Xenopus tropicalis: one gene and its partners. The protein of the gene in region 2 interacts with the protein of the main gene of each other region in a pairwise test. Links are inferred from orthologs where the notes say so. Each region holds a gene or a part of one and is shown on either strand. Other genes may lie near its edges.

Evidence for each region.
Region 1: the proteins of golga2 (region 2) and cdc73 interact in binary tests that used the Homo sapiens proteins (3 or more experiments, as listed by UniProt). The two-hybrid records come from large-scale screens. The link is inferred for Xenopus tropicalis from reciprocal best matches to the Homo sapiens genes GOLGA2 and CDC73.
Region 3: the proteins of golga2 (region 2) and rab2a interact in binary tests that used the Homo sapiens proteins (3 or more experiments, as listed by UniProt). The link is inferred for Xenopus tropicalis from reciprocal best matches to the Homo sapiens genes GOLGA2 and RAB2A.
Region 4: the proteins of golga2 (region 2) and ccdc87 interact in binary tests that used the Homo sapiens proteins (3 or more experiments, as listed by UniProt). The two-hybrid records come from large-scale screens. The link is inferred for Xenopus tropicalis from reciprocal best matches to the Homo sapiens genes GOLGA2 and CCDC87.
Region 5: the proteins of golga2 (region 2) and fam124b interact in binary tests that used the Homo sapiens proteins (3 or more experiments, as listed by UniProt). The two-hybrid records come from large-scale screens. The link is inferred for Xenopus tropicalis from reciprocal best matches to the Homo sapiens genes GOLGA2 and FAM124B.
Region 6: the proteins of golga2 (region 2) and smarce1 interact in binary tests that used the Homo sapiens proteins (3 or more experiments, as listed by UniProt). The two-hybrid records come from large-scale screens. The link is inferred for Xenopus tropicalis from reciprocal best matches to the Homo sapiens genes GOLGA2 and SMARCE1.
Region 7: the proteins of golga2 (region 2) and inpp5j interact in binary tests that used the Homo sapiens proteins (3 or more experiments, as listed by UniProt). The two-hybrid records come from large-scale screens. The link is inferred for Xenopus tropicalis from reciprocal best matches to the Homo sapiens genes GOLGA2 and INPP5J.

The regions. Positions count from the first base shown.
Region 1 is NC_030680.2:113,579,626-113,584,171, forward strand, and holds the start of cdc73 (parafibromin), read right to left. Parts: upstream 3,218-4,546; 5' UTR 3,208-3,217; coding exon 3,077-3,207; intron 1-3,076.
Region 2 is NC_030684.2:22,909,514-22,913,569, reverse strand, and holds part of golga2 (golgin subfamily A member 2), read left to right. Parts: coding exon 1-86; intron 87-177; coding exon 178-402; intron 403-1,423; coding exon 1,424-1,523; intron 1,524-1,612; coding exon 1,613-1,701; intron 1,702-2,513; coding exon 2,514-2,670; intron 2,671-3,252; coding exon 3,253-3,320; intron 3,321-4,056. UniProt on the Homo sapiens protein: Peripheral membrane component of the cis-Golgi stack that acts as a membrane skeleton that maintains the structure of the Golgi apparatus, and as a vesicle thether that facilitates vesicle fusion to the Golgi membrane.
Region 3 is NC_030682.2:116,955,659-116,959,714, reverse strand, and holds part of rab2a (ras-related protein Rab-2A), read right to left. Parts: intron 1,536-4,056; coding exon 1,464-1,535; intron 546-1,463; coding exon 478-545; intron 1-477.
Region 4 is NC_030679.2:48,339,325-48,343,380, forward strand, and holds part of ccdc87 (coiled-coil domain-containing protein 87), read right to left. Parts: intron 3,642-4,056; 5' UTR 3,611-3,641; coding exon 3,442-3,610; intron 2,413-3,441; coding exon 2,335-2,412; intron 1,512-2,334; coding exon 1,369-1,511; intron 1-1,368. UniProt on the Homo sapiens protein: Plays a role in spermatogenesis, where it is important for normal sperm head morphology. Also required for the acrosome reaction and thus normal male fertility.
Region 5 is NC_030681.2:123,828,863-123,833,457, reverse strand, and holds the start of fam124b (protein FAM124B), read right to left. Parts: upstream 3,166-4,595; 5' UTR 3,009-3,165; intron 1,734-3,008; 5' UTR 1,653-1,733; intron 784-1,652; 5' UTR 774-783; coding exon 45-773; intron 1-44.
Region 6 is NC_030686.2:8,332,714-8,337,493, reverse strand, and holds the start of smarce1 (SWI/SNF-related matrix-associated actin-dependent regulator of chromatin subfamily E member 1), read right to left. Parts: upstream 3,100-4,780; 5' UTR 3,081-3,099; exon of another isoform or gene 3,009-3,080; intron 2,355-3,008; 5' UTR 2,320-2,354; coding exon 2,313-2,319; intron 645-2,312; coding exon 601-644; intron 1-600. UniProt on the Homo sapiens protein: Involved in transcriptional activation and repression of select genes by chromatin remodeling (alteration of DNA-nucleosome topology).
Region 7 is NC_030677.2:144,061,885-144,065,940, reverse strand, and holds part of inpp5j (phosphatidylinositol 4,5-bisphosphate 5-phosphatase A), read right to left. Parts: intron 3,834-4,056; coding exon 3,283-3,833; intron 3,124-3,282; coding exon 3,016-3,123; intron 2,894-3,015; coding exon 2,785-2,893; intron 2,608-2,784; coding exon 2,491-2,607; intron 435-2,490; coding exon 259-434; intron 1-258. UniProt on the Homo sapiens protein: Inositol 5-phosphatase, which converts inositol 1,4,5-trisphosphate to inositol 1,4-bisphosphate.

The DNA of each region.
Region 1 (4,546 bases), on a different chromosome or scaffold from region 2:
TTATTCAATACAAGTTTCAAGACCATTAGCATATTATCCCTGTGCATTAGTCTAGTTGTCTAGCTTTATGGTATCTATATGGCTAGGGAGAATCGACATATTAAAAAGCAGCTGTTTCTTTCATGTAAATCGTGGATCATTGGATGCACTGCTAAGTTATAATTGTATCTTGTAATAGAAAGTACCATATATATTTTTTTTTATAAACTAATAATTTACTCCTTCAGAGGGTTAAGTTCGTATTGGAGGTTATCTAGGGTTAGGCGAATGCCAGACGTGGCTTTTTTACACTGCGTATTTTCTCCGCCTAAAAACGCTGCACAACCCACACAGCCCCTGACTATGGCGTTTTTCAGCCTAGTACTGGTGACGTAGCAAATCCCGTTTCCCATGGTGCTAATAGTGCGAAATAGTAAAAACGCTGCATATTTCCTCAAGGTCTGGCAGCTGCTTTTGTGTACACAAAGGAATAGGTTGCTGTGCAAATAACGGCGTATTTCGGCAAACGCATGAAAATTCCGTGGTGACACGTTTTCTAGCGTATTTCTAGCATCGAGACTGTTTAAGTTATTTCTATGGATGATGATATTGTGCGTTTTTCAACCGCCGAGAGAATTAGAAAATACGCAGCGTAAAACCGCCACGTGTGGCATCAGCCTTAACCTCTCTTTCTGTTTCTAATTGTATAGGTGGGTTACCTCTCAGAGTCTGTTATATACCAATTGGTAGTTTTAAAGCAGTATTTTAACTTTCAGTGCATGTGGAATTATACTAATAAAAGATTCCCATGTTTCAAAAATGTTTTTGACTGCTTTGTGTTTATTCAAGTACGCCTCTATCCAATCCATGTGGGAAGGGGGGGTCCCTGACCCATACTTTCCATCCATGCTCTTTTTAGGAAAAAATAAAATAAAACCAGCCAGGGGGAAAAAGTAATGCAGCAACACAGCCAGGTTACCAGCATTTCCCAGCTGTCCCTCTTCAGACATAGCCTTTGAAATGTTCAGGTATGGACCCATTATCTGGAAACCAGTTATACGGAAAGGCCATCTCCCATCAACTCCATTTTAAGGAAAGAACTTACATTTTAAAAATTTTATATTTCCTTTTGCTCTGTTTCTTGTACTTGATCCCAACTAAGATAATTTATCCTTAATGGAGGCAAAACAATCCAATTGGCTTAATTTAATTTATAAATGATTTTTAAGTAAAATATGAGGATGCAAATTACGGAAAAACCCCAGGTCCTGAGCATTCTGGATAACGGGTCCCATACCTGTACAACAGAGTAAAAGTTTTTAATTGTGCTCCACTGCACTTGCATGGGCTTAAAGGAGAACTAAAGTTTGAGAAGTAGAGCAGAAATGCAGCACATTATGTTTTGTGCTTCTGTACCAACACAAGGCAACAACAGCCATTCAGCTTGGAGGATCTGTCCCCCGAAATATACCTACAGTAGCTCCCCATCTTCCTTCTGCTGACGCACTGCACATGCTCTGTGCTGAACTAACTTACAAAACAGTGCATGTACACAGTATAAATGTCACAATAATACAGATTATTAGTACAGGGCAGCTCTGATACCAGTGCAATGTGCATCAGTATGTAATAATCAACCCTGCAGCATCAGCTTCTATGACAGGCAAAACACATTTTCTGCTCAAAAATTTGTAACAACCACTAAGCTTAGCTTATCAACAGAACAGCTGCTCTGAGAACACAGAGTATGTGCAGTGTTACTGACACTTCTAACAATCTAAAATTGGGAGCTCCTGTGCACAATTTTGAAGTCCTCAATAATAACTACTACTACAGAAACGCTAACCCTTTAGGGGTGTTCAATAAGTTCAATATATAAAGTATGACATTTTAAATTATATCTATTTGAAAAGTGCTATAAGGAATCGTACTGCCTGTAGCATGTATTGCCTTTATAGTCACCAATAAAAAGATGTTTAAAAAAAAAATAAAATAAAGCATTTCTATATATATTAATTTTTGAGTTCTTGTTTAAATCTGTGCTTGGGACACCTGGGTCAGGGTAGGTGGCTGCATTGTGTTGTGCTCTTTCTCCAAGGTAAAAAAAAAGTAGGGCTTTAATTCCCTGATGGGTGCCTCACATATTGGCATCCATGAGTAAATTCGCCTTTTCCAATTCCCAAATACCTAAAAATTATCCTAACTACACAAAAGGACTATGTTTTTGATAATGTGAACTTCCCCTTTAATCTGGGCTGGGGAGGACTAACTTGCATGAAAAAAGCACCTGTACAGCTTTTCAAAATCTCATTACTTTTACATACATAAAAATAATACTATTGTGTAACTGTATCCTTCTGATGTTACCTTTCTATGCAAACATGAAAGCATAAATACTATGTGTGCAGGCCAGAGATGCTGCCTGACTAAAGCTCCCACAATCCTAAGCATCTATTAAAGCTTTACACTTGCTGGGATTTGTAGTTCAGTAAGTTGTGGGGAGGCACATTTAGTCACAATGGATACATACAGACACAGATAGTAAGAGGAGGAAGGTATGGATGTACAGCATGTGTGAATAGTAATGTAACGATATAAATAAGAGGCAATGCCAGGAGTCTATTTGCCCAAGTGGGGAGAGTGTGCCATACACATATAGTCAGTAGTGATTTCAGGGACTTTGTGCAGCTCTCAGCAGCACTTGGGCAGAATAAGGTTGTCCTGGGATTCTGGGAGTTGTAGTACAGTGATCGCTGCCGAGTTGGGCGCTACAGAAACCTATGCCGAACTCCTATGGGTGGGATTCTACTTTTGCTCATAAACGGCAGCTGCCACAGTCCCTCAAAACTTCGACAGAATTTGGGGATGCTGGGAGCTGTAGTTGCACAGGCACCACGAGTTACAGGTTGGAGTTACCTGGATAAATCTGTCTGTGCTTGGCCCGGGGCCAGTGCAGTGTGTGTGTGTGTGTGTGTGTGTGTGTGTGTGTGTGTGTGTGTGTGTATGTGTGTGTGTGTGTTGCACATGCCTAGTGAGCACCCAAACAGGGGAAGGACAGAATGACAGCGATTGCTCCCCGCTTCTGCGCCATACTCACCCCCAAATGACATAGTTGGTCTTAACATTCTTGGGCCAGGAGAACTCCCCGAAGATAACCTCATCTCCTTTCACATTGATCTCCTTCTTTTGGATGTTGTACTGACGCAGAACGCTCAGCACGTCCGCCATCTTCTTCTTCTCCTCCTCCGCCTCCTCACTACTCCCGAGGATGCGTACAACCTACTGGTGGTGTTGCTTAAGCGAAAGCCTGTTCCGACAACAGCAAGGACCCAGGAGGGCCAAGCTGCCCTATGTAATGCCTGCTCAGATCTCACACAGGACCAAAGAGCCAAGCGAGCCGGAACCATCTACAACAAGGACGCAAACGCGAGAGGTGTCCCAGGAAATGCCTGCTCAGAATGCAGGCCATACGCATGCGCAAAAGCAATCCATCTCTTGCATGTTGGTATGCCCGTCTGTAGGTATTGGTAACTAGGTAGTGTAAACAACTCTGCCAGTTTGTGAAAACCAAACGGTGTATTTGTTTTGGGCCTCCAGTATTATTGGGTGCAATGGGTAAAATCTGGGGGTAAAAGCAAAATAGAAGTATTATTTGATCAACAAGGGCACATTAAAAAAAGAAAATCATTCTTTTTAAAATGAAATTCTTATTTAACAATTGCACCTTATTTCCATGTATATACTTTTTATGCCTAGGAGTATGGGATGTGCAAAAGATATAGCAATTAGGGTAGGGATGTGCAAAATGACTAAAAATTATATTTATAGAAATGTGCATAGCAAGAGAATGGCAGCTGGTATGGGGTGATGTACTGTTGTTTTATATTCCCACCACAACAGAACAAATTAAGATCAATCAATTATTTAACCTATTTGATCATCTTACTGCAAGTTTTTAAGGACAATTAAAGGTAGAACTTCATGTTTGTAGATATACAGGCCGGTATTTGTGGCAAGGCCATGAAGATTAGGCCTAGGGCAGCACACATTCAGGGCCGGCATGCCGCCCAAGCCACACATGAAGTTTACTTACATGCAGGGCACTGGGGATTATGCACGGGAGGTTTCCATGCACCCTGTCCCCTGTGCGCCAGATGTAGGACGCGACCCTGTGGGAGGGGTGGGGGGAAGCTGAGGATGCTAGCCTCTGAGTGCCTAAAGAGAAATCCAGTCCTGTAGATATAATTACAGTTTCTTGTACAATTGTTTCATGCCATACAATACATGGCTTCAGAGAACACCCCTACATACTTTCTGGATCCTCTACTGCAGTGTTCCCCAACCAGTGGCTCCTGAGCAACATGTTGCTCCCAAACCCCTTGGATGTTGCTCCCAGTGTCCTCAAAGCAGGTGCTTATTTTTTAATTCCTGACTTGGAGGCTGTCAGTCTACATAGGGGCTACCAAATAACCAGTCACAGCCCTTATTTGCTATCCCCAAGTACATTTTTCATGCTTGTGTTGCTCCCCAACTCTTTTTATATTTGAATGTGACTCATAGGTAAAAG
Region 2 (4,056 bases):
CATTACAGAGTGAGCAGCATGTGAAAAAGGAGCTGGCCAAGAAGCTGGGGCAATTACAGGAGACCCTGGGCGATTTCAAAGAGCAGGTCAGCAATGGATGCAGTATCTATAAATGCTGTTTCATTGGGCTGTACATAGTGATACCAATTTGCTCTCTGTGTGTCCTTTCTTGACCAGCTGGCTGCAAAGGAGCAGGACATACAGATTCTGCAGAGTCAGCGAGATGAGGTCTCCGCTCACCTCCAGCAGTACAGTGCAGCATATCAGCAAGTCTCCATTGAGAAAGAGGAGATCCAGAGGCAGTATCTGCTGCAGGCTCAGCTGATGGACAGATTGCAGCACGAGGAGGTGCAGGGGAAGGTCAGCGCAGAGATGCACCTCAAGGAGTTGCAACAGAGCAGAGTAAGTGTCAGCTTGTGGCTCCCGCACTTTTGCATGTCTGCCATTGAAGTCAGTGGGAAGTTCTCAAAATAGCCACAAACATTACTTAGCCTGCATGAAAAAAAAGCGCTACATGTGGCATTTATTTATCATAAAGCTACATAATACATGTATGCCTATTGTGTTTTCTGCTGAGAGTTACTGTCTTATTCTGACCTTCCCCTACTTGTGATCTGCTGGGCTATTTCTTCCTGAGCAGTGGTTAGAAGCACCCCTTGGGTGGGCAGGTGTTGGTCTACAAAACTCAAGCACTAACCCAGAACAGGCAACTGAAGGAACATGTAATGTGAATTGTCGCGGCCCAGTCATTCATGGCTGGAGTTACTCTTTATAAAAGATCTTCACTGTTAAAGTGTTGTAGTTGCCTTGGACCTCTGCGGAACCCTAGAACATATGTTTATTGTTTTTTACCTGCTTCTTTTAACTTTAGTTCTCCTTTATAGACATTGGCAAAATCACCCAGATACAGATTGATGTTGATGATGCTCCTTTAGTTTTACTAAATGGAACCCATGCTAAAAACTCAGCCTTATCAGATCTACTTACTCTACAGCTCCTCCTCGAGTGGCTTGTGGAAGAGATAAGGAAATTAGAAAATAGTACACACAGTACATAAATAAGTATAAAAAATACTGAACTAAATTGGTATACAGGTATGGGATCCCTTATCCAGAAAGAAAATTACAGAAAGGCCATCTCCCATTGACTACATTATAAGCAAATAATTCTAATTAAAAAAAAATGATTTCCTTTTTCTCTGTAATAATAAAACAGTACCTTGTACTTGATCCCAACTAAGATATAATTAATCCTTACTGGAGGCAAAACAAGACTATTGGGTTTATTCAATATTAAAAGACTTAAGTTATATGGAGATCCAAATTAAAGAAAGATTCCTTATCCGGAAAACCCCAGGTCCCAAGAATTCTGGATAACAGGTCCCATACCTGCAATAGTAAATATTTTTTTTTTTGTATTTCAGGAAAACCTGGAGCTTCTCACTAAAGAAAACCAAGAGCTGAGAGCGCAAGTGCTACAGATCCGGAGTGAGCCAGACAGCCGAGTGCTCAATAGGATGGAAGGTGAGGCATGAGCTGTGCTCTGTTATAGCACTGATATTGGTTCTCCTGCACTGTGACGTAAATCTCACCCCTATATATTTAACTACCAGGAGATGGAGTGGAGAGTGAAGTGTATGAAGATGAGATTCTAAAGACTTCACTGGACATCCCTGAGGACTTTGAAAACAGAGAAGAGATGGTGAGTGTCAAAAGTTTTTAAGCTCTACTGATCCATCCTGTATTTGTAGTCTTCCTATTACAGGAGTTGTTTACCTTTATATTAACTTTTAGGATGTTGTAGTGAGTGCTATTCTGGAACTGTAAATGCAACTGGTCTTCATTTTGTATTACAGGTATAACACCTGTTATCCAGAATGCTCGATACCGAGGGTATTCTGGATAATTGGTCTTTCTGTAATTTGGATCTTCATACCTTAAGTCTACTAAAAAATCTATAAAGCACTAATAATAACCCAGTAGGATTATTATGCATCCAGGAAGGATTAATTATATCGTAGTTGGGAACAAATACAAAGCACTGTTTTATTTTTACAGAGAAAAAGGAAATCAATTTTAAAAATCTGAATTATGTGATTGAAATTGAAGTCTATGGGAGACAGGCTTTCCGTAATTCGGAGCTTTCTGGATATCAGGTTTCCGGATAACAGATCCTATACCTGTATTTGTGTTTTTGAATATTAAACAACTCTCCAGTTTGGAATTTTAGCAGCTATATGGTTGCTTGGGTCCAATTCACCCTAGCAACCAGGTAGTGGTTCAAATGAGATACTGGAATATAAATAGTGGGTCTAAACTGAAAGCTAAGTAATAAATAACAATAACAGTAAAATTGTAGCCTCAAAAAGCAGAAGATAAAGGCAAATAATTTATAAACGACAATGAATAAAGACCAAGTGAAATGTTGCTAAGAACTGGCTATTCTATAACATACGTAATGGTTAACCACCCCCTTTAATGATCCTCTTTCACCAACCTGGTATTTTCCTGCAGGTAGCATTTATAAGCACAGCCATAGCAAAGGTGCAAGGGGAACGGGAAGAAACGGAAAGACAGCTGGCGGAACAAAAGCGGTACTGTCAAGGTCTCTTGCGTCAGATATCGGAAATAAGGCGGCAGCAGTCATCTGGGACCATGCATCATGCAGCAGGTAATACTGCATCTAATGCCCATGCCTCCAACTTGTAGCAATTGCTTTCAGTTATCATTACCTAATCCATCAACCCCAAAATAGAACTTTTTTTTTAGCCACTTTACAAAGAAGCAGAGAACTGCATTGTTCTAATAGGGGAGCCACAATAAATATTTGTACCCACTTAGGCCTACCATTAATCATTACACTCCATAACCTGACCCAGGCCTGAAACAAGGAAGTGATCAAAGAGCAGACTGCCTTCCAGCCTTGACCTGTGAATCTCACCCATGTTTAACTGCTTGCCAGTATCCCTATTGCAACCTGCAGAGCAGGGGTCCCCAACCTTTTTATTCCTAAATCATAATTCAGTGTAAAAAGAGTTGGGAAGCAACACAAGCATGAAACTTGTACCTGGGGTGCCAAATAAAGGCTGTTATTGGGTAATTGGTAGCCCCTATGTGGAGGGGATCACTGCTGTAAGATAAGATTGGGCCATTTCTAATTATGCTCCTTTAGTTGTAAAAATTATAGGTACCACTGGTTTGTATTAAACTGGAACCATTATGCAAATACCAGTGTGCTGTTTTCCATCCATAGATCTCGGTATGGACAGCATTCCCAGAGAGGTGTATGATGCATTGCAAAGTGCCATGGAGAAGTTACAGGTGAGTAATGCCTACATAGTACATTCACTGATTAGTCCTGTCCCCTGAGCATGTAATACTATGGTTTGTATACATTAATCAAGGGACCCTCAACATTAGTATAAGTTTAGTTTCCAGGTCTTTAAAATGTACATTAGAGTCATTGGAGTAAGTATAGTTAGTTAAGTCCAACCAGGGTGGCCAGATACGTTCAAATTAGTTCTGGGTACCCTTAACCTCTGAGGTAAGTTTTATAAGTGGTATCGACTTGTTGACTAGCTGTTGCCATGAGGGGGGCACTAGGTAAGGTAGCTCCCATCCAATGACCGTTATCTGTTGCAAGCATAGTTGGTTGGAATGATATCGCCCAAGACACCCAGAAGGCAAATTTTGTCTGGTGAGTGTATGGTCTCTTCTAGTGGAGTGATACGGATTGCTGGTTGGAGAGATGAGAATTGGGCCTTGAATGCATGTCTGAGTTGTTAGGTATTGGTAGAATGAAATATGGTGTTGGGTGTATTTTTGGGAGATGTCTTGGTAGGAGGGGAAACCTGTGTCTAGGGTAAGATCCCCAAGGCATTTCAATCCTATTCGAGGCCAAAATATGAAGTTTTGGAGTTTTCTAAACTGATCTAAGTGTGAGTTGCCCCATAGGGGGAGTTTAGGGGAGAGCAGTGGCGGAGTGTTGCCCAGGAGCTTAGTAGCCATTTGCCATGCTTTGTATGGGGTGAGCAGTGTGGGGGGCAGAGGGACAATG
Region 3 (4,056 bases), on a different chromosome or scaffold from region 2:
ACAGGCAGTAATGCAACCAAAACTTGCCTCCAAGACAAAACTAAGCACCTGCTTTGAGGCCACTGGGGCAACATTGAAGGAGTTGCTCACGAGCCACTGGTAGAGGATCACTGTTCTAGAGGGTGTTTTAGGACTGAAAAGTGTCAATACTGGGGCAGCCAGACATTTCCAATTTAAGTCAATAGAGATAAGCAGGGGTTGCATTCCCTTTTAAGGGTAATTTCACTCCGCTGGCCTCTGCTCATTTGTGTCTCTGCAGTCACAAGTACTGTGTCATCCTGGGACCAGACATAGAGAGCAGGTTTGTCTGCACCCAGGCCAATGCACAAACACACAAATGATCGAAGGACAGTAGAATGGCTTATTCTTACCCGAGAATCAGCCCTATATCAACTTACAAGATCGTTGACAGAATATGTGGTACAACAAAAGAGGCAGAGGAAACAGACAATATATTGTTTTGTCTTTATTACTTACAGTGTCCCATATTTGAAGCTTTATCTGCTTGCCATCGATTGTAATCATTCTTGCACCAAATTCTACACCTACAAAATAATTATGATATGCAAAATTAAGAGATCCTGATTGTAAAGTTCATACAGTGTGTTACATTTTAAAAACAAAATAGAAGCATTAATTCACAATAGTAAGCTCTCATAATATTACTGCTTTCTACATTATATTAGGGATGCACAGAATCCACTTTTTTGGGTTCGGCCGAACCCCCAAATCCACCGTAAAGGATTTGGCCAAATACCGAACCAAATCCGAATTAGCATGCTAATTAGGCTTTGAAAGGGTTAAATGCCACGTGTGGTGAAAAATTTTCAACTTCTGTGTTTACATGACAAAAAGTCACATGATATTTAGGATTTGGATCTGCCGGAGCGTGGATTTGTCAGAATCCGAATCTTGATGAAAAAGGCCGAATCACGAACCAAAACCTGGATTAGGTGCATCTCTACAATATATACAGAAGTGAAAATTGCCTAATCAAATTTAAGTTGTAGCTAGTGAAATGTTTATTAATTATATAAAGTGCAAATAAAAATTCATTGTGTTCAAGTTTAACCACTACTATCCGAATGCTTGAAAGAACAGTAAAGTCATTGGGGGGGGGGGGGGGGGCTGAGTTGTTAAGAACCCCCTGTAATTCTAGCCAATTACTTGATACCCTAGCATTGCACTACTTTCCTCTAATATATGCACCAGTCCGTGGTACTGTCTTCATTTTTACAGGTGTCCCCTGCACCAATTTTAAGAGGGTGCATGTGCAGTGCAAAAGCTTTTAAGTATGGAAAAAAATGGTGGCACATAGCTCAGCAATCAGGCCCTTATGCTATTGTATTTTTTTAAGAAGAGGAGTATCAGCTCAAAGTACCAGGTAAGCAATAAGAATTACTGAAGGGTGTCTAACAAAAGAGCTGTTAATCAAAAGTTGACACTTTTCAGCGTAAACTTACCAATTGTAAGGTCATGCACAGGTTGAAACCTTTTATCTGTAAACTGCAATAAGAGACATGATTTTCCAACACCTGCAAAACAAGAGGAGAAAAAAAGTAAAGTGCCTAAAAATTATAAAATGAGAATACATTAAACAGTGGTTTAGGTGGTCCAGTCTAAAGGCAAGCAGAGGCGAGATTTGTGAAGAATGACCATTTGTTACCCTATATACTGCTGAAGTCATTCAGCAGCTCTCCAATTTGGCGTTTCAGCAGCTATCTGGTTGCTAGGGTCCAGGGGTGGTTTAAATGAGAGACTGGTAAATGAATAGGGGAGGGACCTGCATAAAAAATCAGTAATAAAAAGTAACAATAACAATAAAACTGGAGCCTCAGAGCATTAGGTTTTGGCTTCCAGGGTCAGTGACCCCCATTTGAAAGCTGCAAAGAATTGAAAGAAGAAGGCAAATAATTAAACTCAATTAAAAAAAAAAAAAAATGAAGGCCAATTGAAAAGTTGCTTAGAATTGGCCATTCTATAACATACTAAAAGTTAACTTAAAGGGGAACCACCCCTTTAAGACAAACAGGTTAAACTCGATGAAATTGTTTCTTTTTTTTTGTTACATTCCAAATGACCATTATGTACAGGTCCTTTTCAAAAAATTAGCATATTGTGATAAAGTTCATTATTTTCTGTAATGTACTGATAAACATTAGACTTTCATATATTTTAGATTCATTACACACAACTGAAGTAGTTCAAGCCTTTTCTTGTTTTAATATTGATGATTGTGGAATACAGCTCATGAAAACCCAAAATTCCTATCTCAAAAAATTAGCATATTTCATCCGCCCAATAAAAAAAAAGTGTTTTTAATACAAAAAAAGTCAACCTTCAAATAATTATGTTCAGTTATGCACTCAATACTTGGTCGGGAATCCTTTTGCAGAAATGACTGCTTCAATGTGGCGTGGCATGGAGGCAATCAGCCTGTGGCACTGCTCAGGTGTTATGGAGGCCCAGGATGCTTCAATAGCGGCCTTAAGCTCATACAGACTGTTGGGTCTTGTGTCTCTCAACTTTCTCTTCACAATATCCCACAGATTCTCTATGGGGTTCAGGTCAGGAGAGTTGGCAGGCCAATTGAGCACAGTAATACCATGGTCAGTAAACCATTTACCAGTGGTTTTGGCACTGTGAGCAGGTGCCAGGTCGTGCTGAAAAATGAAATCTTCATCTCCATAAAGCTTTTCAGCAGATGGAAGCATGAAGTGCTCCAAAATCTCCTGATAGCTAGCTGCATTGACCCTGCCCTTGATAAAACACAGTGGACCAACACCAGCAGCTGACATGGCACCCCAGACCATCACTGACTGTGGGTACTTGACACTGGACTTCAGGCATTTTGGCATTTCCCTCTCCCCAGTCTTCCTCCAGACTCTGGCACCTTGATTTCCGAATGACATACTTTGGACCACTGAGCAACAGTCCAGTGCTGCTTCTCTGTAGCCCAGGTCAGGCGCTTCTGCCGCTGTTTCTGGTTCAAAAGTGGCTTGACCTGGGGAATGCAGCACCTGTAGCCCATTTCCTGCACACGCCTGTACACGGTGGCTCTGGATGTTTCTACTCCAGACTCAGTCCACTGCTTCCGCAGGTCCCCCAAGGTCAGGAATCGGTCCTTCTCCACAATCTTCCTCAGGGCCCAGTCACCTCTTCTCGTTGTGCAGCATTTTCTGCCACACTTTTTCCTTCCCACAGACTTCCCACTGAGGTGCCTTGATACAGCACTCTGGGAACAGCCTATTCGTTCAGAAATTTCTTTCTGTGTCTTACCCTCTTGCTTGAGGGTGTCAATGATGGCCTTCTGGACAGCAGTCAGGTCGGCAGTCTTACCCATGATTGCGGTTTTGAGTAATGAACCAGGCTGGGAGTTTTTAAAAGCCTCAGGAATCTTTTGCAGGTTTTTAGAGTTAATTTGTTGATTCAGATGATTAGGTTAATAGCTCATTTAGAGAACCTTTTCATGATATGCTAATTTTTTGAGATAGGAATTTTGGGTTTTCATGAGCTGTATTCCACAATCATCAATATTAAAACAAGAAAAGGCTTGAACTACTTCAGTTGTGTGTAATGAATCTAAAATATATGAAAGTCTAATGTTTATCAGTACATTACAGAAAATAATGAACTTTATCACAATATGCTAATTTTTTTAAAAGGACCTGTATATGGGACAACATAATGGCTCACAGGCTGACAACACATCCCACAATACTGGAGTCCAGAACTCTGCTATCTGCAAAAACCTTGAATCTTATATGATGAACAATTAGGGTATATTTATCATGCTGTGTAAAAAGTGGAGTGAAGCATTACCGGTGATGTGGCCCAGGGCAACCAATCAGCAATTAGATTTCAACATACAGAAAATCAAAGCAAAGCATCTGATTAGCTGCTATAAACAACATCACCGGTGATGTTTTACTCCACCTTTTACACAGCCCCAAAGGGGGGAATAAATATATAGCTGGGTGCTGTACTTCAACAATAACTAATAAGCTGCTAGTTGGGCAGCACTGAAAGTATGTATGTGAGGCAATTGTACTCACC
Region 4 (4,056 bases), on a different chromosome or scaffold from region 2:
TACATATCAATAATATTTTTACAAATACAGGTATAGGACCTATTATCCAGAATGCTCGGGACCAAGGGTATTCCGGATAAGGGGTCTTTCCGTAATTTGGATCTTCATACCTTAAGTCTACTAAAAAATCAATAAAACATTAATTGAACCCAACAGGATTGTTTTGCATCCAATAAGGATTAATTATATCTTAATTGGGATCAATTACAAGGTACTGTTTTATTATTACAGAGAAAAAGGAAATCAGTTTTAAAATTCTGAATTATTTGATTAAAATAGAGTGTATGGGAGACGGGCTTTCCGTAATTCGGAGCTTTCTGGATAACGGGTTTCCAGATAAGGGGTCCGATACCTGTACTGGTTTAGAAAATTGCTTTAATATTTCTTTCTGCAAAACAGGTCCTATATCCATCTATTTTATGGAAAGCTGAGGACCTAGGTTTTTCCCAGTAAGGATTTTTTTTTATCATTTGGAACACCATACCTTAAGTCTGCTTAAAATTAATGAAACAGTTAATCAACACAATAGGATTGTTTTGCCTCCAATATGAATTCATGCAGCTTAGTTACTATACAGTACAAGGTGTTGTGTTATTGTTATAGAGAAAAAGAAAATCATTGCAAAATAATTTGCTTAAAATAGACTCTATGAGAGATGGAATATTTCAGAGCTTTCTTGATAAAGAGTTTCTGAGTAATGTACTGTATACACCACTGTGGATTTTTAGTATTTTGTATCTGGATTTTAGTCAATATAAGGGGCCGAGTCGGCAGCTTATTTGCCCATGTAGGGCATCCACTGAAAGGTCCACTTGACTGATATCTGAGTCAGATAAAGGCAAATTATTTGTCAGATCTCAATTGAGTAGGTTAGAAAATCCCATCAGGCAATGGGGCCAACAATTGCATCAGACAGATTTAGCCCAGTGTGAGGGTGGCCAAATAAGGGCCACATTGACATATTTGGGGTATTCCATGAATATCTATATTTTAATAAAAAAACTGGATTTCCTTTACAGGATTCCCTCTGATTTTGTCCTACTACAAAGCCATACACTGGTACACTATAGTACTTAAAATAGAAAAAGTATGCATCCCTTTCAACTTTAACAATAGATTCTGCAGGTGCTTTTCTTTTTGCAGAAAACCTAAAAGGTACCATTCGTTAACCTCCCCAGTGGAACTTCCTAACAGTGAACAGTGACAGTCATATTTACTGTAACACATTTTTTTAACTAAACAAAGGCTTGACTTTCTTAGTCTTAAATATAAGAAAATGCAGAGAGAAGAACAGACTATCATGAAATTAAAGAATTCAGCCTCAGTATAGAATATGTCAACACTGCAAACTAAGAAATAGACACATACAAATATTTGTCGCTCTTCTTTAGAACCAATATTCAGTACCAAGGTGGTATTCAGCCTCCTTTTTACTAGCTCACACACAGCATCTGGATGAATACCTGGAATGTGAGTACCATCCAGTAATGTAGGTATTATGTAGGTATCATCTGTAAGAGAACAAATTACAAGTTGCCACTTGTTATTAATATATTTCATGTATTTTCATTTCATCTTTTATTCATATCACACTAAATAATTTCATGCAGTTAGATCAGACACTTACTTATACATAAATATATAAAATGCAGATATGGTTTGTAATCACAATTCCTGGAGAAAAGTTTTAAAGCAACAACAAATGTTCAAAGAGAAAAGAAAATCAGTCTGCTGCCTGCTAATCGTGGAGAGAGAGAAACACCAGGAAAGCCAAATGCACCTCCTTCAGGTGCTTAAGTTGGAAAAAAAACCATCAGAACATAAGCCACATAAAAGTTTAAGGAATTATGAATAATAAAATTAAGGGGTATCTTCCTTAAACAACATGGTTAAATAGGAGGATGTAACTGTGCTCTGTGGGCTAAAAGCCAAAAATCACATGACAAGCAAGTGCACCCCTCAAGCAGGAGATTGCCGTTCAGATGAATAGCAGACCTGGGAGGGGTTGACAGGTCTCCTATTGCCAGAGAAGAATATTTGTGGGGCAGTATCCCCTGGATACTCAAGTTTTCTAGAACTTTAGGTCCTTTGTATAAAACCTCAAAGTAGCAGAAACTGGTCAAAGTTTGTCAAATTCTCTGGCTTTTCTCAATTCTCCTTTATAATCCTTTTTAAGAAAAACATTTTTTTTCTCTTTTCCCCCCATTTATTAAATACTACTTCTCTATTCCTACATTGCCCATAGTATCATTCTGGAATATATTTTTAAATATACATGCAGCTGTACTTTAATCTTATGTTTGTGCCAACCACAAAGGCTAAATTCTTTTTCACCTTTGAAAATACTTTCATTGATCTCTTTCTTGATATTACTTTTATCTTGTGCAGCAGATATTCCTCTGTGGGGGGTATCTAGAACACAAACAATAATGTACATTAAAATGTGTTTATTGCGTGCAGCTAAGAACTGATTGTTATAAGCAACAGTAAAATCAAAAGTATAAACAATTATGAGAATTGATCCAAGGAAGTGATTATTCTAGGCAAGGTTTTTGTCTTCTTGCCTGGAGAACATGCAGGGCAGTCAAGGCCCATATTGGCAGGATAGACAAGGCAAGAAGCAGGTAGCACATATTAGGAAGACAAAATAAGACTACATTGTCACTGACAGCAGGCAAGGATGCAGACAAAGCAGGCATGGTAGATACTGCTGGAACTGGATATAAGGTAACAAGGCATATAATACAAAAATGTAAGGCAACAAAGAATTAGGCTAAATTAGGATGAATGGTAAAGGCAGGAGTCCAGTAGCATTCATGATTGGTGCATGGACCTACAATTTGGCAACCTGTTTTGGGGAAAGTGTGACTTTTCGTCTACCAATAACATAGGTGCCACATCATAAGTAAGCAAACTGAAAGCTTGCTAACAACACAGTGACTATATTTCTGGTTTGAGGTTATGCTTTTAAACCTGATATTTCACTGGCAGGGAAAGGGTTAAGTAAGGCACCAAGTGTGTTGTACTTGTCAGCTGACATTAACCACACTCCCAAATTGGCTGAAACCCTGGCAAGGGCATTGTGGTACTGATATCATTGCTTAGATGGAAGCAGCTGGCAGAGGTGCAGCCTTTCACTTCTCTTTACAGTGAAAATGAGACCTGGTACTTAAACCATTTAAACTAGGGATTTGGTTTCGGATTGGCCAAGATCCCAGCACCTTATGCAGGATTAAAAGCTCTGGACAACAGACTGCAACAATTTTTACTCTCAATGGCTTATGAACTTCCATTATTTCATTCTGTTTCCTTATGCATAATAATACAGAAACAGAATACAGACAAAAGTCTGTCAATGAAATACAAATGAAAGTTCCATTGGTCGTCCATAACATTCTTGTAATTCCCATGCAATATTTAGAGCACTATTAATATTCAAACCTTTCAGATGAAAAGTACGATCAGACTGAGTGGGAAACAAGGTTAGAGCCTTCAGTCTGTCATTGTACAGTTGGTTCAGCTTCTTGGTGTTTAGCCTCTCCTCCTGCATGGGATACTCTTGCTTTTTCGTCCTTATTAGATTACCAGGGTTGCTCATGTCCTTTAACATGTTTATAGTGAATTCCAGAAGCAATTGAGCCCTAAAATAAAATGCGTGTAAACAAAAAGCAAATGATAAATGTTCAAATATAAGGGGTGTAATAAATAAAAGTATGACAATATTTTTCTGAGTGCATGAATAGTTAGATCTGGCACTAACATTTTTAGAGTGTTTCACCAGCAACAGAAAAGTGAATTGCTCCTAAGAATATCTGTCCTTTCTGTTAAAATAAAAAAGCATGGTATGAATATATAAAAACCTATAATAAATCTCAGATGGTAGTGTTACCCCTGGTAATGCACAGGGCACTGACATCTAAGGCATGATTCTCATCTGGCCTCATGGTAGCAGCGCCCCTTCCTCTGAATGTATCTAAGGGCAGGGCTGGTCTTATCAACAATCATTAACAATCTGGAGCATTAAAGTGGGGCCCTCTAGGTTGTGGCCTTAAGTGT
Region 5 (4,595 bases), on a different chromosome or scaffold from region 2:
CATTTAATGTATATGTGTGTAGCATATAATAAATATTAAATTACCAGAAGAAGGATTTTGTTCCCATCATAATCTTGAGTTTGCCATCTGGCATCGCTGATGGGCACACAAGGATAGGGCAGCAAAGGAACCAATTGTCCTACTGCATGAATGGCAAACTGCAGAGCACACGCATCCTTAACTTGCACAGATATCCCAGGGTGCAGCTGCTTTATGGAAAGTTGGACAGACACATGTGTTGTAGAATACAATACAAAGAAACAAAATCCAGCTTTTTGGGTAGTTGCCTCCTTTTGCAGGATTGTTTCATAGAGTCTCACTGCATCTTCATAGTTATCACAGCTACAATACACAGTGAGTCTCACAATTTCTGTGCCATAATGGACATGTCTCATTTCCCACACAGGCATGTGGGAATCAAGACTATAATAATCACAAAGCGGCAGTTTAAAGGGGCAGGATCTTCCTTGCTGGAAGTCTGCGATAACATGAGTCCATGGAGGTAGCTGGAAAAAACTTTGCAGGAGATCAATCCTTTCCTCTCCCAAGTCCTCACGCAGGAAGAGTGTCACTGATATCCCTGGGAATTCAGGCCTTTTCGTTTGGCACTCATACAGCTTAATGGGAGCAGCCCGTTCCGACACAAGAAACAACCGGACATCTGGACATATCCTGTGGAGAAGACGGTCAACTGCAAGTTGAAAGGCAAGCGAATCACCCGAGCTGGCAAGAAGATGAACAGTGAGAGGCAAAACTGTTTGTCTTTCATCCATTTAAATGTTCCTGAGTTAAAAAAAAACAGAGAAAGTATTTAATTATAAAGCACAAACATATTCTGCAGCCCTATACAAACGGAAGGGTGTTACATACAAATACTGACTGCTGCAGGAGGTAAATGCACCAATTAATACATGTAAAAAAGTGGCATGTTTTAGACCTCCTGTTGCATGTCAGGATATGCATGGTATGAGCCAACTGAAAACACTGACTCAAAATGTGGAGCTCTATGTTTCCTATAGGCTTGAGTGGTCTCCTCCCTTAGTACATAATACATACCATACAGATCATAGCCCTCCATTTGATCTACACTTATAGTTTGTAAACCCATTTGTTAATTTAGAAATTAAAGTATTGCTGCATGTATATTACTATTTAAGAAATGATCACAGTTATTTATATCAATAACTCCTAGGCTGATATCAATGTGCCTTATATTTTTCTCCTGTGCACAGATGTATAAAATGGGTGGAGTATATAAAATTTCCTCTGCATGCAAAGAAGGTATATTCAATAAATAAATATTGCTTTCATACTTCTAGATAAAGTTCTCGAGAGCTGCAAGTGGTCCTTAGGGACAGGTTTTAAAAATGTACATATCATTTTTCCTTTTTACAGACTACCTTGTCTTATGTGTCTCCAAGTGACTGGTAAAAACAGAAACACTCTTATCCATAGTTCTACTTCTACATGGCCTGGTGCAATGTCAGCCTGCCTTGCAACACACACCCAACCATCACCATGCACACCCCCGGATGTCACTCACTGGCTTCCTTACATCCTACCTGCCAGTCACTCCCCTTCCACCAGTCGCCAACAATGCTCAGCCTGCACCCCCCACAATCACACCCTAAGAATGTGCCTATCCTTCCTACCGCTAGTTCTGGCCTTGAGTCGACCATCTTGTTCTTGGGTCATGTTGGAGTTCTTGGAGCCTTATGCTTTGGATCACTATCCTGCAGAAAGATGAACTGTCACTTTAGTTTATTAGCAGAATGAAACAGGTTCAGTTTTTTGCAGTAGCCATTGTTTCTTCTTTTCTTTCAAAATGTCCAGTCCCTGCTAGCAAAAAAGCATCCCCACATCATGATGAGACCACTATTACAGCTAAAGGTGGCTCTAAAAAATAATAAAGAATGGGGATTTAATATCTGCACAAACTCATCAACTCAATGCACTTATAAATGGAAAATCAGCCTTTCCGGAAAATGTTTCTACTTGTTCAGGAAAAGTCCTCTTCCTTTGATTGTATGCTGTACGCGACTGACTAAATCTGTGTCTACACCCATCAGTAAATGTGAACTTCAGAGCATTTCAAAATGTAAAAGATTTACTAAATGATGATAGTTTTTTTTTCCTGGAGAAAAACAAGTATAATTCCCAGTTCTGAGGTATCTGGCTAAAACATTATTTCTTGGTACTACAAAAAAAGGGATGGTGGGGTTTGAATAATACATATTAAAGATTAGCCATAAGAAGGTGCTGTTTTACTAGAGTCCCTAACTGTCTGCTCACAATCTTCCAAAAAAGCAGATAGTTCTAAAAATTAACATATTTTCATTGCATTAACTATTTATTGCTGCTGCCCTGGAATAAAACTGTTGATCTGATCATACAAACAATCACAATGATCACAGAATTTCTTCATAAGGTTTTGAATTCTGCTTCTCATCTCCACATCTACTTTAATACGGCTGCCTGTAGCTTTAATTGCAAGTCTGAACTGTAGTCTGGGGAGATTGGCTTGAGTAAATAATACCACCCGTTCTTTTGTTGTTATGAGATCCCAAAGTGGCAGTGTATTACTAGAGAAGGGAAATGTTTTGTACCGTATTAGCCAGTCTAAAAAATTCTAGGTAAAACTGTGCTGCTGTCCAATGACTGACAGTTGCCATCTATATATGAACAAATTATATAAACTGCATCAGTGACACTGTGAACCCTAAAATCAGTTACTGTTTAGGAGGATGGATGTCCAGACTGCGTAGTATAAACTTTAACTCCCATAACCCACCGTATAAACACAGGGAGTGCTGAGGCTAGAGATTCTGCATTAGCATACAATTCTCTATATTTAGATTAGTTTACAAGTAAGTTTCATAACTGGAAATAGGGTGAATTGCTTAAGCATAAAAAGCCCACAGATGTTAAGCATACACAATCTTGCCTATTCCCCAGATTTTGACTGTTCTTGTTGGGAAACTTAGAGCCTGATGTAAATCTTTACTAACCTGCTCTGTGTGATGGCTGGCTGCTGGCTGCTGCTTGAAGAGGAACGTTTCTGTGCTGCTGTACTTGTACTCAGAAGGAGAATGAATGCCCTGACCTTTTCTCAGTACTACTTCTCCTGGGAAGAAGCCCACCATTTCCAGCAGCAACTAAAGCAGAGTCTGAGCAATTGTGAGATAGTAATTTATGGCATGGGCTGCCACACTGTTCTTCCCTCCCACTCATCTACACTATAAAGGATTCACAATAGAGTTGAAGACTTGGTAACATTTTAGGAAAATCTTTTGTTTCTCTGTAACACTGGCTTAACTAGAAGTTACTTGCACCCCCTTTCCCACTAAACTTTGGTAATACATAAAATCTTCATAAACTTATACTGAAACTGCTTTTCAATCAGAGCCCCGCTGGGCCCTCTACCATCCTGGTCCCCAGCAGTTGCAAGGTCTGCTTCCCCTTTACACTATCCTTGTGTGTAACAGCCCTAACAAAAAAAAAGTATGTTTGTTACAAATATATATATAGTCCTTTGCACTTTGTGCCTTTATATGCCTGTCTATGTCAGCTGCATTAATGTGGAAAAGGTGCTCCAATTTGTAATACTTTGTTCTAATGCAAAGCCAGTGATTCTGCCCCCCCCCCCCAGTGATTGTAATTGCTAACATTATACCACAGGCTGGTGCTCTTGCTCACCGAAAAACTGCACCGGCACGTGGTACAGCCATGCTATCATCTTTTTCTCTATTCTTGATCTCCCCTTTCACACACAAATAAAATTAGAAGCAAAAAGCTTTTCATTCTACTGCACATATGTACCCTGGCTGGGGCTGCTCATGATGAGATGCTCTTACAGAAGTCCCCTGGGCAGGTGCAGTTTCACCAAACATTAGCACTAACCCAGGGGCTCAGGTATTTATTATCACTTGGGGTGTCTAACATTTTGCACCCCCTGTGATTATACCTTACCTTCTCCTTTTAACAACAGATTGGGTAGCATCTTGCAAACAGTACTGATGTTAGTAGCTAGTACTTGAATACAGATCCTTCAGATAAGAGCACAAAAAGAACAATGATACACAGGAGCACTTACCACACAGCCCAAGTGTGCTACATGTAGACCCGCTCCCAGATGGGTCCTGGAAATAGAATATAAAGAAAAAATATATAGCGGAGCACCATGAGGATAAAAATAAAAATCAGTCTTTATTCCATCAACAGTAAAAGGCACATGTACATCCCAATGGATGTACCTTTTACTGTTGATGGAATAAAGACTGATTTTTATTTTTATCCTCGTGGTGCTCCGCTATATATTTTTTCTTCAGATAAGAGGGCTGATTTGTTACAGTTCAATCTGGGGAATCCAGAAGGATTCTTTGCAAGCAAACACATTCATTTTCAATGGTTACTAGTACATATGGCTGCTCAGCAGTTCTACCACATAATTATATTTGTATCCCTAATTGTCAGACACGCAAAGTGCACTGACTGTCAAAATTCCCCTTGCTAGTGGCATGTATGGTCAAAGCAAGGAAATGTTACGAATGCTACTTTCATTGAAATTCTCACATAAGCTGGATTGTTTTAGGGAC
Region 6 (4,780 bases), on a different chromosome or scaffold from region 2:
CCAATATTAATTGTAAGAGTGCCATATTGACTAGTGGCCTTTCCCAACCACGTTTAAGCTTAAAAGATCAGGTTGTACTTAATGAATCGTGCAGAGTAAAATGGGCTTAAAAAAATATTGCCGATTATCTTACATATTTCACAAGAGGGACTGAGGGAAAAAAGCAAAAAAAAAAAATCACACTTCACAAACGCACACAATGACAGCACACATCACACTGACGCTTAATGTGTATTTTATGAGAAGCAGGTAAGGGGATTTTATTCTATTATCCGAAATAATTGTATTGCCCATTAAAATATATTTTCTAATTTTAAGCCACAGAATTGTGTTTTAAAATTAGTGCACATCCGTCTATTGGGTTTAGGATTTGAGCTCAGTTTGTCTTGTGTGTAAAGTATGGCACAGCTGTAGCTGCATTTGCAAACTGTAACTATCATACAGGAAGCCATTTCACAAGGCCATTTGGGTCCGTTTGCGAACAGACTCGAGTCTAATGTTGTCATCTGGCACCCAAACAATCTTATGCAATAGCACCATTGATTCATTACAGTACTTATTCCTTTATCATACAATATTTGACAATTTCCTTCTACTCACTGTAGTGGGGGCCGGGGCTGGAGGTGGAGCATATGATGGTCGCTCTGTAGAAAACACAATTACACATGATTACATTTTTTTTTAATGCAGATCTTTAGCACAGTTATTAATGAAATGGCCTCATATGTATTTTCCTATTCTTACATGGGTTTTTATGATCAATAATGCACTATTTATTCAGATACTAAAATCCAGGTATCTATATTTGGCCTACGCGTTGGCCTTGGTAACAGTCTGAAGAATTAATATGAATTTGATTCTCCCTTTGCTGCTATAAAGGCTTCTATTCCACTGGTAAGGCTTTTAACTAGAAATACTGTTGTTGAGATTTACGTCTATTTAGCCACAGGAAGAGGGAGGGTCAGACTGGGGGGTGCAGGGCCCACTGGGGCTACCAACCAAGGGGCCCAGGAGGTGCCCCTACTGGCCACATCCCCCATCCTGGACAGGCCCCCGCTGAGCTTCCCTAACCCCCCTGCAGGGCCACCCTTACACCCCAGCAGGGCCCCCCACGCAATGTCCTCCCCTGAGCATGCATAAGTTTAACGCGTCAGGGGATGAATGGTCGGCTGGGGGAGCACCGGCAAGGGTTGGGTCTGGGCTGCCAGGGCCCACTGGGTTTTTTTCCCGGTGTCCTGGCAGCCCAGCCCGACCGCAAAGCAGGAAGCACAAAGGGGATTATGGAAATCAGAGGCCTTAGCAGAGACAGACCAATTTATTCTCCACCAAACTTTTCAGCTGACATTAAATCTTCAGCATACTTATGGTGGCCATAGAGGTTAAGATCCCCTCATATAGTGATGTTGCCCAAAGAGCAGATCTTTGTCCCTAAGGTGGGCATATCAGGTTAATTCAATTGTCTGACCCTAGGTCTAAACAACCAAATTACAACAACGGGCATAGGAGCTGTCCCTGATCCGGAGGGAAAATCAAAGCTGCCCAATGGACATCTGGTTTCAATTTTCAGTCGGATATCGGTCAGGGAGGCCTGTCTAGCAGTGGTGTAACAACCTATACAGCAGACCCTGTGGCAGTTGGGGGGCCGGGACCGCAGGGTTCCCTTTCCCCAAGCCTATCCTCCCCAGGACATTCGGTGCCATGAAGGCCTGGAGGGAGGAGTGACTGTTCACACCAGGAGTTCTCAAAAGATTTCTTTGCAAGGGAACCTGGTGCAATCAAGTTACGCCACTGCAGCCTAGGGACGCCATACACGGGCTGCAGACAGGGTCGGATCGGGATGCCGGGAAAAAACCCAGACCCAACCCCTGCCGGCGCTCACCTGGCCGACCCTGTCTGCAGCTTATTTGCCTGTGTATGGGGCCCCAAGGGGAGGGGGGGGTTAGTGGTACGAGGCCAGTGGGGCAACTGCAGGGCCCCTGTGACGCCAGCCCCTGTGGGCCCTGCACCCCCCAGTCCAACCCTGGCTGCAGAATTGGTCTGAAGGACTTGAATCAGAAGTTTAATTCTGCCCGTGTATGGCAACCTTTATGGCAGCCCAGGTGTAACCAGCAAGCCAGAAGGTAAAGCTCTGTTTAGCCCATGTTCTGTACGCGGTACCTACCTACATATGAACCGTGCCGCTCAGCCTACATGACATTTACTATTCTTCCATGTGTTTTTATGATCAATAATTCACTATTTATTCAGATACTAAAATCCTAGTGTCTGTATTTTTTTTTTCCCCAAACCATTTCGGCAAAAGGGAAACTTACTTGACATTTTCGCAGATTTTATTCAGTCCTCTCCCATAGAACCTGCAATGTAAAACAGAATGAAGTTAAAAATACATGCAAAACACACAATGTATATGGATAAAGCAGCTGAAGCTCCAATTTTATTGTTACGTTATATTACTTCTCTTACTATTCAGACCCGCCTCTATTCATACTCCTGTCTCTTTAAACCTGGTTGCTAGGTTAAATTGAAGCCTAGCAACCAGAAAGCTGCTGAAATTCTCAACTGGGCATTTGCTTCACAACAATACAAATAAATTGAAAAAACAATGACCAATTGCAAATGGTCATACAAAAAGTGAATTTATATGTGACCAGCCCCTTTTGATCAAATGGTTTGAGGGATAAGTAGAAGGTTGTGAGATTGCAGCCTAATCCCTATAAAATGAGGCCCATACTAAATGCACAAACTGCAATAGTTTAAACGTTTAGTGAGAGCCCAATGCAGTCTGTAACTATTGTTGCCATGTATAAAATCAATGTAGCCAATTTTAAAAGTGTTGTTGCTAATAATAATAACATTGTATAAGTGAGAGAAAAAATAAAGCAGGAATAGCACCCCACAGATGAGTTTCCCACCGAATACTGCATAGCCTTTGCCCCCCTCAGGCCTGCTGGGCCTCGGCTTCCCAAACCCCTCTGACTCCCAAAATGCCGCCATCCTTCCCCACATACCAAGCACCTCACTCTGTTTCCTCCGGCAGAACCTCCCACAGTACCACCGACCCGCTCCCCAGCCGCACTAACCTCACACCCCGCTCTGCCCTCCTAGCCTCTTTGTTCCCCTCACAGGAACCAGCGCCGCTATCTCAACTTCCGCTTCCGTACTTCCGCTACATCCGAACACTAGGGAGTAGGTACTATTGCATGCTGGGAAATGTAGTGCGCAAAAGCTGAGTATAGCGCACCAGCGTTGCCAGGTTGGCGATTTTTCCGCCAAATTGGGCTACTAATTTAATGCCCTGGCGGGTTTTCAAAGTATAAACCCGCCAAGGTACAGTTTTGGGCTTTTTTTTGGAGCCTTGGAGGGTTTGTAGTTTGGAAACTAGCCAAGGTTTTTTCTGCCTAGTGTGCCTGTTCCACTGCATGCTGGGTAATGTAGTTTGTATTTAATAATTAGCCTACAGTTAAGATTAATATAAACTACAATACCCAGCATGCATTTAGACAGTATATAGAGGCTCTGTTTTGTATTCCCTTTTGCTCTTTCAGGCTCCACCTGTATGTTTTACAACCTGCTCCCTGCTCCCTGCTCTATAGCATTTCCTTTGTCAGCAGACAGAACCTGAAACCAAACCATATGTGTGAGCATTCACAGCAGGGACTCTTCCCACACTGGGCATTTTTTCTCCAGAAAATGCAACCTTGCTGTTCAAAACTGGTTGATAATGACAACCACACTTTTTCTGCTTATACCCAACTGGGCAGGACCAGGGTTGCCAGGTTGGCGGTTTTCCCACCAAATTGGGCTACTAATTTAATGCCCTGGCGGGTTTCCAAAGTACAAACCTGCCAAGGTACAGTTTTGGGCTATTTTTTTGGAGCCTTGGAGGGTTTGTAGTTTGGAAACTAGCCAAAGTTTTTTCCGCCTAGTGTGCCTGTTCCACTGCATGCTGGGTAATGTAGTTTATATCTAACAATTAGCCTACAGCTAGGATTCATATAAAACTACAATACCCAGCATGCAATTGGACACTATAGACATAAATAATAATAAAAAAACAACAAAACACAAATACAAGAGTATTGTAGAAATGATACCTATATTGGCTAACAATAAAAATACATTGCAAGCTTTCGGAGCTCTAAGGCCCCTTCATCAGGCAAAATACGTGTTTTTTTATTATTATTTTTGACACTGGCTAACACGGTACTACAGTTTTTGTTTTGTGACACTATAGACAGAGGCTCTGTTTTGTATTCCCATTTTGTTCTTTCAGGCTCAACCCGTATGTTCTTTAACCTGCTCCCTGTCAGCAGAAAAAAACCCTGGCAGAAAAGGTGCAGACAGAACCTGAAACCAAACCATATGTGTGAGCATTCACAGCAGGGACTCTTCCCACACTGGGCATTTTTACTCCAGAAAATGCAACCTTTGCGTTGGGACATAGGCTGTTCGAAAGTGGTTGATAATGACAACCGCACTTGTGAAAATTACCAACTAAACTTGTTACTCTGCCTCCATATGTTTTTGGCGCTTGACTTTTTCTGCTTATACCCAACTGGGCGGTACCAGGGTTGCCAGGTTGGCGGTTTTCCCACCAAATTGGGCTACTAATTTAATGCCCTGGCGGGTTTCCAAAGTACAAACCTGCCAAGGTACAGTTTTGGGCTATTTTTTTGGAGCCTTGGAGGGTTTGTAGTTTGGAAACTAGCCAAAGTTTTTTCCGCCTAGTGTGCCTGTCCCACTGCATGCTGGGTAATGTAGTTTGTATTTAATAATTAGC
Region 7 (4,056 bases), on a different chromosome or scaffold from region 2:
CTGTTTGCAGATTTATATGTATCTGATTCTGTATCAGAGGAAAAATGGCCACCAGCTGAAAGCTGCTATTTGCTTTAGTAAAATGTGATGGTGCTAGCAAATGGAGGGGGATATATGCAGTACAAATGATGCCATTTGGTTGGAGGAGACATGCCCAACAAATATACATTGTAGGCAAATGTAGGCTTTACATGTCCTTTAAAGTGGGCAACAATATAAACAGAATAATGGCAAAGACACTGAGGCAGAATTACTTACTCATGGTCCAGAACACCATTTGCCAGCGGTCCCTGGAACTGCTGAAGCTGCAAGATGCTTTCAAAATTATCCACTCGCTGATCAGTGTTCTCCATATGAGCCGGTAAATGGCAATTAAGAAAACATACCATGTGACCAAAAAGAGATAATCGAATGCTGACTCCACCCTTATTACCCTATAAATAAGGAAACATTAGGGCTCATTTACAATTGTTAGGTACTAGATCTGCACCCATAAAAATGCCATACACAATGCACTTGCTCCTACTTTATTAATGGGCCAATGTGCTGATGGCACAAAAAGCCCTGTTACTAACACCTGCCTTGTACAGGTAGTAAGTACAGGGCTTCCTTTGCATGTTGAGCCTATAGGCACTCACTGCCAAACCACTTGGCCTGCACACATGCCCCCCACCCCCCACAGGTGCAACTTTTAGCTATGAACCTGCAATTTTCAAACTGCCTCAAATCTTTGGATCTCAGTTATCAGTAGTAAATGTTGGTCCTGCCTGCAGCAATCCAGGGTTTAGCAAAATCAAGCACTTATTGTAGGATTTGAATTTGGCCAAAGCTTAACTGTTTAGCCAAAGCAAACTTTAAAGCTCTGGAAAACTGAAACTTTTTTGTTAATAATTTATGTTGTTATTTTTCTCAAATTTCAATATACAAATTAAGGTTTATATTCGGTTTGGGATTTGGCAGAGTATTTTTTTGAAATGTGAATTTGATGCATCCCTAGCAACTATGCTGGAATTCTGCTAAATGAATCATGTTATTTTTTTAATTTCACCCCACCAGAATCACCAACCAAGAGGAATTAAGATTTATTAGATTTATTTACACAATAGTACGGTAAAAACATAATCTTTGCTTGCTTTTTTCCTTTAGCTTAATCTGTTTCTCTGATTTTATAACACTTTCTATTAAACATTAAAGGAGCCCATATATCATATGTGAATTAAATCTCAGCTTGGCTTGTCTCCATTTACAAATTAATTTGATCCATTTTATGGCTTCATTTCCTATAAGTCCAATCAGCAGAATATGGAAGCCTTTAGTATAAGAGTCAATTTGGCAGTAGTTATGGGATTGTACAAGGACTATCCCCCATTTTTAAAAGAATCTTAGAAATGCATTGTGTAGCAGAACACAGCTCCAACTGTAATTCAAAAATGAGGACCTTGACTTAGGTAGGATGTTTATATCTTATTTACTGTGCATATTGGGATCCATAAAAATTTCTTGCATGGTTGCACTTAGCCCAGTAGCCTCCAGGTGCAAGGCCCTCAGGAGCATGCATATAGCGTATATATGAATCTAATTCAGCCAAGCATCTAGGAAAGACAAGTATTTGTCACTCCAGATTCTCTATATCTTGGTGCAGTACAGACACTGAGCAGTGAAGAGCTTTATCTTGGGACATAACTACTACAGGCAAATGCAAACTGGGTCCTAGCACCTGTATACTGTGCGTCTCTTTGTTGTTTATACTCCATCTTTAAACATACAACAACTCATTTATGAGTAGGATTAATATATTAGGACAAGACTTTTAACTCTATCTTAGACAATAAGGCACCACGTAAGGTTGTAAATGTTTATGTTAGATTTTACCAAAATTGTTTTGTTAAATAAATGTATGTCTGCCATATGCTGGTACAACAAAGAATGTATACATCCCTGCATACTGAATAAGTATAAATACAGAAATCAAGCCAAAAGTAAGAAAGTATAAATGTGGCTTGGGAAAAGCTACCCTTTAACAGTACTGAGCCTCTTCAATAGCGCCATTACCTATACAGAATTAAATGCTATAAAGAAAAGTATAGTCTAGTAAAGGGTTAAACAGAGAGGAACATTAAATGTCTCCCTTTAAGGCTGTTAAAACCATAAAACTATCATGATCATTTTTGCTTATTATCAGGAATACCTATGCTTACATTGATTTATGACATTTTTCTATAGAAGCACTGCAATAGCATTTGGAACTGCAGAGGCTATCATGCAGTGCTCCAGAACTCATTCTACTTAACTGTTTAGAAGCATACTATTTTTACTGGTGACTCTGGGAGGGTCAGATAACATTCATAACTGTCTATGCAACCACCCAATGGAAAATATGATTAATAAGGGATTTTTGTTAAAAAAAAAAATCATTTTTTGGTGTAACTGGAGTGTTAATAATCTATTCCGAAGAATTACTGTGCAGCCTAGAAACACCCGCACACTGACCCAGTATCCTCCGAGGCCAGTCCTTGTGCAGTCAGTCTGTATGTCCCGGAGGAAAGGCAAGTGGAAATACTTTGAAAACACCAGCAGCAGACAACCTTGCATTCTTACTGAGCTGACCTAGGGACAAGGGAAATTAGAGGGTCAGAACATATCACACATTTTGTTTTGTTTTTTTTAAATATCTTATGAATCGGCGAGCTCTAAAAAGTGAAAATAATGAATACCTTTAACCCCTTTTATGAAACAAAACCAAAGTAGGAAGCATGCAGTAAAGGATTATTATTTGGGCCTCACCAAAACATAGCTGAAAGGACTGAGGACATCCATAAAGACCTCGCTCCACTGATCGGAAAACAGAGCATCTTTCAGGCGTTTATTGATCATAGAATTGACCTCTTGCAGCCTGCAGAGACACAGCAGGAGTGACCGTGACTCATTTCCTATTGCACTTTCAGCTATTAATATAAAACAAATCTCATGCACGTGTTCACAGGAAATGCATAGACAACGAACTTTAATTCTTACCCGATAACAAACATATCGATTTTATCATCTCTAGCATTGAGGCAGAGGAGGGAAGTAAGGTCCGAGGGTGGCACAGCACATCCAACATTCCATGTGATAACATATATCCTTGTAGTCAGAGTAAAAAAAACAAATATAATAATGAATGTGTACTGTAAATCTACCCAAATTCACCTACCATAACTGCTTAATATTACCAGATTAGGAAGTTTTATATTTTTTTTTTTAATTTTTGTTCGTGGCCAAGAAAATCTTTGGAAATGTTACCTGAAGTCCTTCCCTGCTACATCCACTGTACTATCACCTTGGGATTTGTCGGCTTTTGCTGGGGAAGGTCGAATGCATTCAGGGGTTGGATGCTGGTCTTGGGGTCTAGAAGTGTGTGCTCTGTGCGGAGTCCTGGGGACATCAGGTGATCCTCTAGGACTTAGGACAGGAGAGCGATGAGGAGAGGATGGAGGTGGAGGCAAAGGTGGGTACTGCCGGGTAGGGGACAAGAGACTAGGACAGGATCCCTCAGGCTGTGATCTGCCAGATTCCACTCTTACATTTATTGGGGATCCTAAAGGATGGAGCCTCTGAGATCCTTCTGGTTGGGATCGGTCAGGGGCAGAAGAGCCAACAGGTGAAAGAGGACGGGTGGAGAACTGTACCGCTGTGAGGGGAGTTTGGAAGCTACTTGATCCTTCAGGTTGGGACCTACCCGAGCCTGCAGGGCTGAGCCGGGGAGATGGTAAAGTAGTGGGTCTGGGAGGAAGCTCAGGTGAGGGTGGAGCAACAAACACACATTGATCAGGATAACGTACATGTGAATCCATCTGCGGAAAAACCACATATACTTAATATTAGATATTTTCCTGTGGTAGATTATAAACACACATTTACAAACTTTTGACAATTGCATCAAAATAAAGAATAATCCTACTGTAAATCCCAATATGTTCAAGCCATACAGGAAATGCTTATAATCTTTGCGTGTGCTATTCTCCTTATCTTTATTACTGGTGTCCTCTCCCTGACGCCTCCAAATAATGGCTCTAA